2 linked regions of the Arabidopsis thaliana genome follow. The protein of the gene in region 2 interacts with the protein of the main gene of each other region in a pairwise test. Each region holds a gene or a part of one and is shown on either strand. Other genes may lie near its edges.

Region 1 (6,697 bases), 3.4 Mb from region 2:
TTAGGGCTTAAGATTATCCAAGTGACTGCTGACGGTAATTGTTTCTTCAGGTATGTCTTTTGCTTTGATCATCGAATTCGATTTGTTTTTTGAAGAACAAAGCAATCGTGTTAGATTGAATAGTGATTCTCTTTCACAGAGCAATTGCTGATCAATTAGAAGGCAATGAGGATGAACACAACAAGTACCGTAACATGATTGTACTTTATATAGTGGTAAGTGGCAGCCATTACTTAGTGATATTTGGAAACTGTCTCTCTATATGTATATACAATACTTGATGGCTTTTGACAGAAAAATCGTGAAATGTTCGAGCCTTTTATCGAAGATGATGTTCCTTTTGAGGATTACTGTAAAACCATGGACGATGATGGAACTTGGGCTGGGAATATGGAATTACAAGCAGCTTCTCTTGTCACTCGCAGTAATATATGTATTCACAGGGTAATAATAACAATGCCTCTTCTCATCATCTGCTTCGTTTTTATCGATACGTTTGTTTGAGCAGTGGTATCTTTATGTTGCAGAACATGTCACCGCGTTGGTATATACGCAACTTTGAAGATACGCGAACCCGCATGATCCATCTGTAAGTATACTTGGTTCTGTTAATGATTCTTTTATCGGTTTGAATTTGCTTTTACTTTAATAGTTTCTCTTTCAGGTCTTACCATGATGGGGAACACTACAACAGTGTGCGTTCCAAGGAAGATGCTTGTGGAGGACCAGCCAGGCCTGTTGTAATAGAGGTTTTACTTCAAACTTTAGCTCTGTGTTTATCTGTAATATACATAAATTGTCTGTTTTTCTGTCCTAATAAATTCCAGTTGTGTGGAAGGCTGATGCTAAAGTTTCAGCAGCATCTAAACAAGCGAAAGCTACAGAGAGCAAGTCCAAAAATAAAGCTGATAAGTGTCATGTGAATGCTGGAGCTATCAAAGTTGTCATGTCTGGTAGTTGTTGTGACAATACTGAGAAAGCTGAACAGGTGATAATGCGATGCTTGGTTAATGTTTGAGAGAATATCATGATCATTAGTCCTCTCTTATCTTTAGGTTCTATTACAAGTTAATGGTGATGTGGATGCTGCTATAGAATTCCTGATAGCAGACCAAGGAATGGAGTCTTTGACTGAAAATGATACAGAAACCGCCTCTGCATCAGATACCATCAACCCAAAGCATGCAAGTGATAGTCCAATGGAAAACACCGAGCAAGCCAGAGAAGAATTGATAGAGGAGGAATCAGCTAGCGGCAATAACAGTGAAACAGTCCAAGCCAAGTGCACTACACAGACCGATGATAAGGTTTGTTGGCTCGCTTAAACCATGAGATAGCTTATTTCCTTATGATTGCATTAAAATATGATCCGAATATAAAAGGATTTCTGTGAAAACTGCAGAAGATCCCAAGGAATAAAACATGTCCATGTGGTTCAAAGAAGAAATACAAGTCCTGCTGTGGAACAGCAACTGGGAGATCCTCTGTAAAACTGTTAGTGTAAGTTTCTTAAAACGGTTCTGCAAAACACTCAAAGCAGAACTTAACTAAAGATGAGTGTTTCTTGATTAATTTGCAGGAGCCAAACAATGGAGTCGAAGAAGGGGAGAAAGAATTTGAGAAGAGGAACATCGAATGAAGTTGAAGCAAATGCACCAGATGTTGGTGCTCTTTGTATATAATTAAGTCTCACTCACTCAAGGTGATCACGTTTTCACTCCATTTATTCACACCAAACTCTTTTATCTGTTTAGCAAGAACAGTAATTGGTTACTAAATCCGTTTGGTTATCTCTCTATTTCAGGCGAAGACATAAATTTAGTATGAACTTGGAGTTAGGATCACTCGCGAGTATACCTTTTTTGTTGTCTGATTAAATTAACAGAAAGAAAAAAACTTGTTATACCGTACTCAAGAACATATATGTATTACAGAGCCCAAAAATAGCTCGAGAATAACTCAAATTCATTAAAGCATAACTTGGTTAACACTAGCTCAGATGATGATTGTGATGATAGTGATGATGATGATGATGAATCAGGGACGAGAGAAGTGGAAGGTGCGAGGAATGCGGTAAGGGGAAGGTTGAGGAGAGAATCCTGATGATGCTGCCATTCCCACCACTCGATTTCCTCCACCGTCCGATTGCTGCTTTTCCGATCTGACAGTCGTCGTCATCATTGCTAGCGATAGATCGCTCCCTAATAATCTCTCCTCATCTCTAATCCTACTTCTTATGCTTGCAATCTTTAAAATTATCATACATATGAATTATATCACCAATTTAATTATTTTCCGACAAAAACAATATACATACACAAACATGAACACTTACATCAGACTTGAGTCTAAACTCTTCAGATGATGATTCTCCTAGACTTAGACCAAGATTATGACCGTTCCTCGTCGTCTCTGTTGATTTTTACAATAGAATCTGGTGACTGGAGTAAATTTTAAGACAAAAAAAAAAAGTAAAAATAAATTTACCTGAGCTAAGATCTTCTTCTTCCTCGTATACTTTAGGGTCAAAATTGGTAACAGCGTCTTTCCCATTACACTTTATTGCCGCTTTATCATAAGCTCTATATTCAAATTTCAGTTTTTTCATATTTCGTACCAGGAAAAAAGTAAATATTTTTTTTGGTGATGAGACAGTGAATAATGAAGAAGTACCTAGCAGCTTCAATCTCGGTATCAAAGAGACCCAAATAAACGTACCTGAAAAGATAGCAAACAAAAAAAGCAAACAGGACACTTCAAATTAATAAGAAACAGACTGGAAATTTAATATTTGCACCAAAAACTATGAAGAAATTAATACTTTTTGTTGAGGAATTGACCCAAACGTGACTCCCATCTTCCACATTTGTGCAAAGTAACACCTCTGTATTTAGAACTGCCTCTTGGAAACCCAGTGCTTTGCCTTCTAAGTACATGCATAAACTCTTCCTTTGTCAAATTTCCCATCTGCAAAAAAAAAAAACCAATATTTCATTGTGTTTTCTTCTGAGTAGTAAGTAATTAAATTACTAGTATAACCTAAAGTAGATATATCCATAAAAGACTTATATAGAACCTGTTTCAAATCGTCAAGGTAGTCTTCAATGTCGAAATTAATATCTGCATCTACACCTCTGAATTTAATCGCCGCTCGATCATAGGCTCTGTCTCAAATATTTATTGACCCATATTATAGCCAATAACAAAATAATGAACAAAAAATGATACTAGTATAGTAATGCGTTAGCTAGGTTCGAAAATATACCGAGCAGCAGCATGTGCAGTGTCAAATCCACCTGCATATATATGTAACAACAATTAGAAGGAAACAAAACCCTTTGTTTTGTCAAATAAATCGAAGACACAAAAGTTAAATCGTAATTTTTATGTATATGAACCATACCTAAGTACACTTGCTTCCCACAGTCCCTGCATAATATTCCAAAACATTTTATGAAAATAATTGAAATGATAACACTACATATGGTTTTAAAAGGTATTATGTGATTTACCAAATATGTGACTCCCATCTTCCGGTTCGTCGGTAAAACGTAACTCCTCGATACTGAGAGCTACGTGAGCGAGGACCACGTCGGCTCTTCTTTATCGGCGGTGATATCTCCGGCTCTTCTGGTCGACCCGATCCGCTTGGATCCGACTTACCGACACTATTGAAACCGGACCAACGAACTCCCGGTTCCATGCTTTGAGCCGGAAAGAAATTCCTGGTCACCGGAAGCACAAACGGTAGCCACGTTGCAGATTGACTCATCCCGTTTGACACGTGTCCGACCGGATTCCCTCTACTGTCGGATTCTTCGTGATGATCGGGTGAGTCGTTAAGGTTCCACATTATTTGTTGTTCCTTTGTGTAAAGTAAAGAGGAAAAAAAATAAGAAACTTGGGAGAGAAATAAGAGAGAAGAAGAAAACTCAGATGAGAATAACCATCAAAGCAAATAAAGGTAGGTTCTAAATAAATAACTAAATTATTTAATAGAATAAATATCTGACTCTATTCAAGTATTCATCATTAGAGAGGTGCAGGATTTTTTTTTATCAATGAAAGGAGTCAAAGGAAAAAAAAATATTTATGAAGAAATTCATTTTGAAAATTGATTCTTTCCCAATACAAGTGTATTAGACTGTCTCCTAGTTTTTGGTCTCCTGAGTATTGACATCACATTTTTCTTTTATATAAAAAGGGCAAGTAAATTCAGAAATTCAAAAGTTTGCTGAAATTATTATGGACTAAAATGTAGGATGTAGATGGGAGTATCTTTATTTTTTATTTATTGTCCTATTTAATTTCTCCTACTCCAACTACTCACAATTTATCATTTTAGGACTATAATTTATATCTTTCTTTCTTCTCCGAAAACAAATTGGGACATCAATTCAGCAGCATATGATTATTTTCAACATCAACAACATAATCATGTTGTTATCTACAAACAAAATTTTATGTTTGTTTAGTGGAGCGAAACTTTTTTAAAAATGTAATTCCCTGTATATTTGTTGAATATAGAAAATTACAAATGTGTAAAAACAAAAACAAAAAACAGGATGAACAAATCCGTGTAAAAGAGTTTCGTAGGAGAAGAAAAGGAAACGGAAATAATGTGATGGGAAAAGAAAAAAAACGAAGTAATACCTAAAATGCCCCTATCCAAGAGTACGGGAAACAGCTTTTTCTCTCTTTCCATTGCTTTGATTACACCTTCACTCTCTTGTTATACGCGCGTGTACTCACTCTCCCTTCACATTTTGATTTTTAATCATTGTTTTCACATTTACTTAAGGTATTTACATCAACTCAGAAAGAATAATCATCCTGTCTCTCCATTTTTTATTATGTTCATATACATCGACATTTTATTTAAAAAATTAAGAAAATTAGAAAGAAAAAAAATAGATGAATTTGAAAATGTATTCGACATATAACCTTTTTGAGATTTCTCGCATATGGGATTTTTATTAACGTCTCTACTGTTTCTTAAAAATTCCCCCATATCGTTAAAGTAATGTTTTATTTGAAATCAGCAATGAAAAATTATTGCAACAGTTGGTTATCGTTTATAAAAAGATAATCATAACTCTGGTTAATCATTCATCATGCAAGTATGCAACTATTGTTTTACTTTACTTTTTTTATAATGATGTTAACAGAATCTTGATACTGATATAGTTATACTTATTTTTTTTGTAGTGGATCATTTTCTTTTCAGAATCGTACTTATACTTGCATGTTTCTCTTGAGACAAGTTCAAGTTTAATTAGTAGCGTCTGCTGACCCAAAAAAAAAAAGAACGAATAAAATTGTCTATATTGACACACAGAATTTTTTGTATTTAAAAAATTTCAAAACGCATATTTCTAAATACGTGTTTAGTAGTTACTAAAGCAAAGAATAGGTGTGGGTAAAAGGAGATCCAAAGCGTGAAAGAATAATATTACAAGTGGGGGAGGAAAAAGCCAAACCTTCCCCTAATGGAACTATGACGATGCTTTGATGCTCTCTGTTTCTTTCCCTAAGTAGTAATTACAAAAACTCCCTCTCCCTCTTTCTCTCTACGCATATATCGACTCCCATAATGGCAATCTTAGCCCCACATTTCCCATAATGGCAATCTTAGCCCCACATTTGTCTCGCTAACAAATCATATCGGATGGCGTTTTTCTTTTTGATTGTAGATAGCTTTTTTCCCCTATCATGGAATCCAACCAATTTGAAGATGCCACAAGAAGATATATTGTTACCAAAGTATTAATCAGTGATTAGCATGCATGTACCATATATTTTTATTCAATAGCGAATCTATAGAAATCAAATCTAGGATATATGTGTATGTTCAGTATTTATGATGGATTATTGGTTTTAGAATTCATATATTTTATACTTCTTCACATATATTATCAAAATCCAATTTCAAACTTCGAAAGACTCACATTTTAACAAAAGTAACACGCGTAATAATGTGAATAACGACGTTTTCAAATAGGTTTGTGCTTGTCCACATCTTATTCAACCTTATCATGATCTATAATCCAGTTTCTGACTAAACAACGTAATTACTATTTAAATGAATTAAACTAATCTGGTTTAAAGACTGTTTAAAATTAAGTACATGATAAACGTGGGCTGTATGAAACTTTTGACTAGTGAATATAATTAGGAATGCGTACAAACTTTAAAATATTGAGAGACACATAACACCAAAAGTGTGTCGGCACAATCATCTCAAACTAGAAAATCTTATTATTATTACTGATGTTTTGTAAAAAAAAATAAAAATACGATGACAGCTTGGAAACATCGGACGGTCGATAAAATCATCCTCGTACTGTCGGTGAATCTAGACAGTTGAAATTATGGGCTCCACTTTTCATTAAGATCACGGAAGCTTGATCTCTCCACAACTCACGTGACTCACGTGAATAAAAACATGCTACGTATCTACCTCTTTCAAATTTACAAGTACTAACACAGCCACTGTTCGAATCATCATAATGTCTTTTTTATATCACTGTAGTTGATAGTTGTGTATATATGTATACAGTATACTTGCATAATTCTCCGAGCAAGATTATAAGATTTAACAAATTTCGTTTCAAATAATTTTCAACCATAAATATTTTAATAATCTCCTTAATCGCTGAAATAAATAAAATACGACTCCGGGCATCGTCATCTGACT
Region 2 (5,628 bases):
TGACGTTTTCTGCACGAGCTGTCACGCAAGGTGACGACGTTTTTAATCAAAGTGTTTAGGGACTATAAACGTATAAATTAATCTGTTCGATGTTAATAGTTCTGATGCCAAGATGCGGTTCGGTTTTCTAAACCGGATCGAAAGTGATAATTTTTAAAAACTTAAACCCTAACTGGCTAACTCTTTCACTGACGACATACATAACACATTTCACTGACTAAACTTATTTTGATTAGTGTAATAAAAGAGTAAAGAACTCCAGTATTGGCGTATTGCTTACACTGATTCTGTCATCTCCACATTATTTATGTCAAGCGGATATGTTGGGTTCCTATTATTTCCCTTTTATCTAGTTTATAAAACTGTTATGTTATTATTGTTATGATGTACTATATAACATCCTCGTTTGCGGTCTCAAAAAAAAAAAAGACAACATCCTCGATTGTGGTGGAATCTGTTCCGATATATTATTGGTTAATTTTTGATTGAGGCGAACTAATTATGTAATAAGTACTCTTCTTTTCTAAACTTTGAATCATATATAGTCAAATATTGAAAATAATAAAAAAGAAGATACAGAAAATTTATTCGCACATGATTTTAAAATTGACGATAAAATCTTGAGATGGGGTCAAAATACAGTGCATTTTAGTGCCCAAAACAGCAAAACAATTTTGCGTGGATCTCATGTCGGAAGATAACAATAAAGATAAATATCATTGGCTATGTAATATATATAGATAGAACTGTGATATAAAAATCTATCGCAATATTTCTATTGTACAAATATGTTTCCTCTAACTCTTTCGTATACGTGGATAGATAAGGATTTTGATAGTGTTGCCTTATATCTTTTCTTTTCACTCTCTTTTTAAGTACCAACCGTTGCGTTTACTTTGTTCTTCCTTTTGGAACTAGACCCTAGGTCAAACGGGCCTGTGTAAATTTTTGGATTATACAGTTTTTAGCCGGTAAACGAAAAAGAATGTATTTTACTACCTAAGAAGAACATATCAGAAAGCAAACATTATAAAAGAAAATATCGTATAAGTATACTTCATCATTTAAGATTATTGATTAGTAAAATATATATCAGAAAGCAAACATTATATCAGAAAGCAAACATTAGAAAGATTTAATATTTTGAGAGAAAAGATAAATTATAAGGTATGATCTTATGAGAATTGAATCTCGAACACGTTGCTTTATAACACACTACAAAATGTATATTTTTATTGATAATATATTACCGAATCTTCATTACTAAAACCGCAAAAAGAAATCTTAAGTAAAGCTATACCTTATGATTTCTCGAAGTCAAAGTTTCTGTAATTAGAAAGAAAAATCAAATTTGCTTTCATGCCGAACTGTAGATAAAGATTTCTAAATCATGCCGACCATACTGTCCATTTTTTCAATATTATTTAAAATTCCATGAATATCCATCCTCAAAGGGCCCTGTCTAGAATACGATACAACTAGTATATAATAAGTCTACAACTACGTAACGGAGTTATCATTCTAAAAGATAATACATATTTGACAAAATAAATAGAAAATTAAAGTTTTTAAAAAAATATTTGTAAAATTTATGAACATAGTGGTCATTTGGTCGAGAAAGAAGATTTTTTTTTTCTTTTAAGATGAAAAAATTGTATGGGTCATTAATATCATCTTATTATTTAAAGATGTACAAGCTTTAGCTTATCTCATTTAAGGATGTACAAGTTATATGCATACACACGCAAAAATAAAAATAAATCAAAGTTTAATATTTAGTTTGGTGAGAAGAATTTGAGTCATTGACATAATAAATTTTGAAATCATGTTTGAAAAGGAGACTATAAGCTAGTATCGGTCCCTAGACGAAATGATGCCTCAAGAACATACGAAGTTTATTAATTAAACTTTATTTCTATTCATTAACAAATAAAACAGCCAAAACAAAACTAATTCAATACCGACATGATAGATAAAATCCATTCAAAACCTCAAACAAATTTGTTTTGGAGTTAACAGAAATAAAATATTTTGAATTTGTAGATACTCCTACATGAAAGAAAAATGAATTACGATATCAAGGACCAGCCTAATTATTTTATTTTGTTAGCCTAATTTTCATTTCTACAAAACATATCTCCATCACGATTTTATTAAAACAAATCCCATAATTCGATTTTATTATGTGGATGTCATGTTTACACGTGTCATATTACAATTCGTTAAAATACAGTGTCTCTTCTCTGTCCGACTGGGCATGACAGATCATCCAAGCAAATCAAATACCCAACTCTCACACGTTCTCAAACAAAAACTTCAAAGAGAGAGAGAGAGAGAGTTTTGTGAACTCAAGAAAATAAAAAAAGTTATAGTTAATGGGATTCGGCTTAGAGAGTATCAAATCAATCTCCGGCGGATGGGGCGCGGCGGCGCGTTCCTGTGACGCTTGTAAATCAGTTACCGCCGCCGTGTTCTGTCGAGTTGACTCAGCTTTCTTATGCATAGCATGTGACACAAGAATCCATTCCTTCACTCGCCACGAGCGCGTGTGGGTTTGTGAAGTTTGTGAACAAGCTCCCGCCGCCGTCACTTGCAAAGCCGACGCCGCCGCTCTTTGCGTCAGTTGTGATGCCGATATTCACTCTGCTAATCCTCTCGCTAGCCGTCACGAACGTGTCCCCGTCGAAACTTTCTTCGACTCAGCCGAAACCGCCGTCGCCAAAATCTCAGCTTCTTCGACTTTTGGTATCCTTGGCTCATCCACCACCGTTGATTTAACCGCTGTTCCGGTTATGGCTGATGATCTCGGTTTATGTCCGTGGTTACTTCCTAATGATTTCAACGAACCGGCTAAAATCGAAATCGGAACTGAAAACATGAAAGGTTCTTCTGACTTTATGTTTTCTGATTTCGATCGGCTTATTGATTTCGAGTTTCCGAATTCGTTCAATCATCATCAAAACAACGCCGGAGGAGATAGTCTTGTTCCGGTTCAGACGAAAACAGAGCCTCTCCCGTTAACTAACAATGATCATTGCTTCGATATTGATTTCTGCAGATCAAAGCTCTCTGCTTTCACTTACCCTTCTCAATCAGTCAGCCACAGTGTAATTTCCCTCCGTCAAAATCAAATCTTTTATCATAAAATTTGCTTAAATTCAGTAAAAAACTAATCTTTGAATTTTGTGATTTTCAGGTTTCGACTTCTTCTATTGAATACGGTGTAGTTCCTGACGGAAACACAAACAACTCTGTTAACCGGAGCACGATCACTAGCTCGACGACTGGTGGTGATCATCAAGCGAGCTCTATGGATAGAGAAGCTAGGGTTTTGAGGTACAGAGAGAAGAGAAAGAACAGGAAATTTGAGAAGACGATTCGTTACGCTTCGAGGAAAGCTTATGCAGAGTCACGGCCAAGGATCAAAGGCCGGTTTGCGAAAAGAACAGAGACAGAAAACGACGACATTTTCCTTAGTCATGTTTATGCTTCAGCAGCACACGCACAGTACGGTGTCGTACCAACGTTCTGATTCGAATCTACGGTGGATAAACAATCAACCTGAAGACTTCATATCTTCCACCGTTGATTTACAGTCGGTGTATAATAAGTATAGTGAGTCTTACCGTAGACAAACATCTTATCCTCTTTACCGTTTTAATTACTTTTTTTTTACGCGCTCTCACTGCCACTGTAACTCTTTTTTTTTTTCTTCCTATATATGTATGCTTATTTTTATTTAGAAAATGTTATGAAATCATATAATTTGGTAATTATAGTTTCTATTGGCTGATGTTGTCTTGTCGCTAATCATATAATTTGGTAATTCTAATCTCTATTGGCTGATGTTGTCTTGTCACTAGTTTTGTTGATGCAGATTAGGTGGAGTTTTGGCTTGGTAATTGTTACGTAGCATAAATTATAACGAAAGCACAAACTATATGACATTTAATACTAATAGGGGGAGATTTTTAGGTCACTATAACTTACACAAAAGTATTTTTCTGAGATTTATCTAATCAATCTAGCTCATGCATTTTTAATATTTGTATCCCATGCACGAGAAGCATCGGATTTTTGTTTTTTTTGTTACATGTAGTTGTGAGTTTTTTTTTTTATGTTTGAAATCATGAAAAAATAGTCATACGTATGTGTAAACTATCTCTCTAATCTACCGTTGAAAGCTTTTTATTTGTTGTTTTCTTTGTTCCGAAAATACTTATTGTATTACTGAAAAGTTTTTTGATTCGTTAAGGCATATATGTATATTCCAGATCCAAAATCTCTGGAACTTTCGCAGAGTTAGTGAAAATAGTTGCTTTTCCGGAAATCGATCGTAGGAAAAGAAGGGAAGGTTGCAATTAATGGTTTTGTCCGAAACTTCATTAACTTTGCCTTTTGGGTAGCTGTAGAGCCAATCTTATCTCTCTGCAAGAACGTGATTATTGTCAGATAAAGTCAAAGTCCATTTCAACTGTGATATTTTGTCGTTAGTGATCGGTGATTTATGGTATCACTATCTCGTATTATCTAATAGCCTTTACACAATCTCGGACCTAAGTTAACTATATTCATTCAAGGAGGCTAAGAATGAGCCAGAGTATTTTCTTCATTTTAGATGTTTACACTGATCTACCACAATTGAAATCATAGTAGCTAGGAAAACTTGAATCCTATCTCTTATATTTCAGAGTATATATTTGAACCACTAAACTATTCTAAACCTTCGACTGTTAGATGATCCACTGATAAAATATGCACGTAATAACCTTGTTATGTTTTTCTAATAAATCATCTACTCGTAAGTTACCTTATAGTTTACTTAAAAGTTATATCGTAGTGTCTTTGCAACTACTATAGGACTTGCATACGTATGATATAACAAAGTATGTTAAAGACATATCAATTTGTTAATACATACACATAATCTTCTAAACTCACGCAGCAGTCTCTTCAAATTCATACCACCTCTAGCTATAATCTCGTTAACATTTTTTTAGAATGTAGCTACTTTTTATGAAATGTATATACAGTATTGTGAATATATAACTCATGATCAATACTTTGGATTGAGATATAGTTGAATGAGACTTCTGCCGTCCAAGTGGGTTTAGAGACCTTGATACAAGGGGCAATTTAGGCAGGATATTTTTTTGGAAGGTAAGCTTGAGATTTGCAAATAGTGGCTACGAATGCTTTGGGGCCACATATATACAATCATAATAACGTTAATAATAGCGCATTAAAGAAAAGTTTTGACAATACATAGAACTAAAGTTTGATTTATTAAACAAAAAAAAAACAAAGAATTAAAAGTTGGATGTTGAGTGTCACGAATAAATTGGGTAAATGTGGTGTTTTTCCCCCAATTAACCTTTGATTAAGCTTGTTAGGTGATTTCCACCAAACTCATTGTCTATTATGCATTAATCATACGATTATTATTCTTTATAAATGATTATCAGTCTAATTGATTTCAATTTATTTTGTAAAGACATTTCCAAGTTTACATGACAACGTGTATAACTCGTGTGCGAATGTATGTTCCTTGGACTTATATTAAATTAAAATCATGTATTAGATGCAGCATGCATGGGTTGACACACTTCAAAATACTTATACGTCCAA

What was found. Proteins that work in one complex are often made in the same cells at the same time.
Region 1: the proteins of COL5 (region 2) and TOE3 interact in a two-hybrid assay, tested with the Arabidopsis thaliana proteins (one study listed by BioGRID).

The regions. Positions count from the first base shown.
Region 1 is NC_003076.8:26,800,082-26,806,778, forward strand, and holds TOE3 (target of early activation tagged (EAT) 3), read right to left. Parts: upstream 4,169-6,697; 5' UTR 3,854-4,168; coding exon 3,513-3,853; intron 3,430-3,512; coding exon 3,404-3,429; intron 3,297-3,403; coding exon 3,266-3,296; intron 3,165-3,265; coding exon 3,077-3,164; intron 2,968-3,076; coding exon 2,822-2,967; intron 2,719-2,821; coding exon 2,674-2,718; coding exon of another isoform or gene 2,589-2,673; intron 2,583-2,588; coding exon 2,488-2,582; coding exon of another isoform or gene 2,423-2,487; intron 2,413-2,422; coding exon 2,336-2,412; coding exon of another isoform or gene 2,285-2,335; intron 2,248-2,284; coding exon 2,038-2,247; 3' UTR 1,868-2,037; downstream 1-1,867. Other genes in the region: AT5G67170 (SEC-C motif-containing protein / OTU-like cysteine protease family protein), read left to right, coding at 1-50, 140-215, 295-444, 528-589, 665-749, 839-988, 1,056-1,307, 1,403-1,500 and 1 more.
Region 2 is NC_003076.8:23,353,198-23,358,825, forward strand, and holds COL5 (CONSTANS-like 5), read left to right. Parts: upstream 1-2,139; 5' UTR 2,140-2,375; coding exon 2,376-3,107; intron 3,108-3,196; coding exon 3,197-3,532; 3' UTR 3,533-3,792; downstream 3,793-5,628.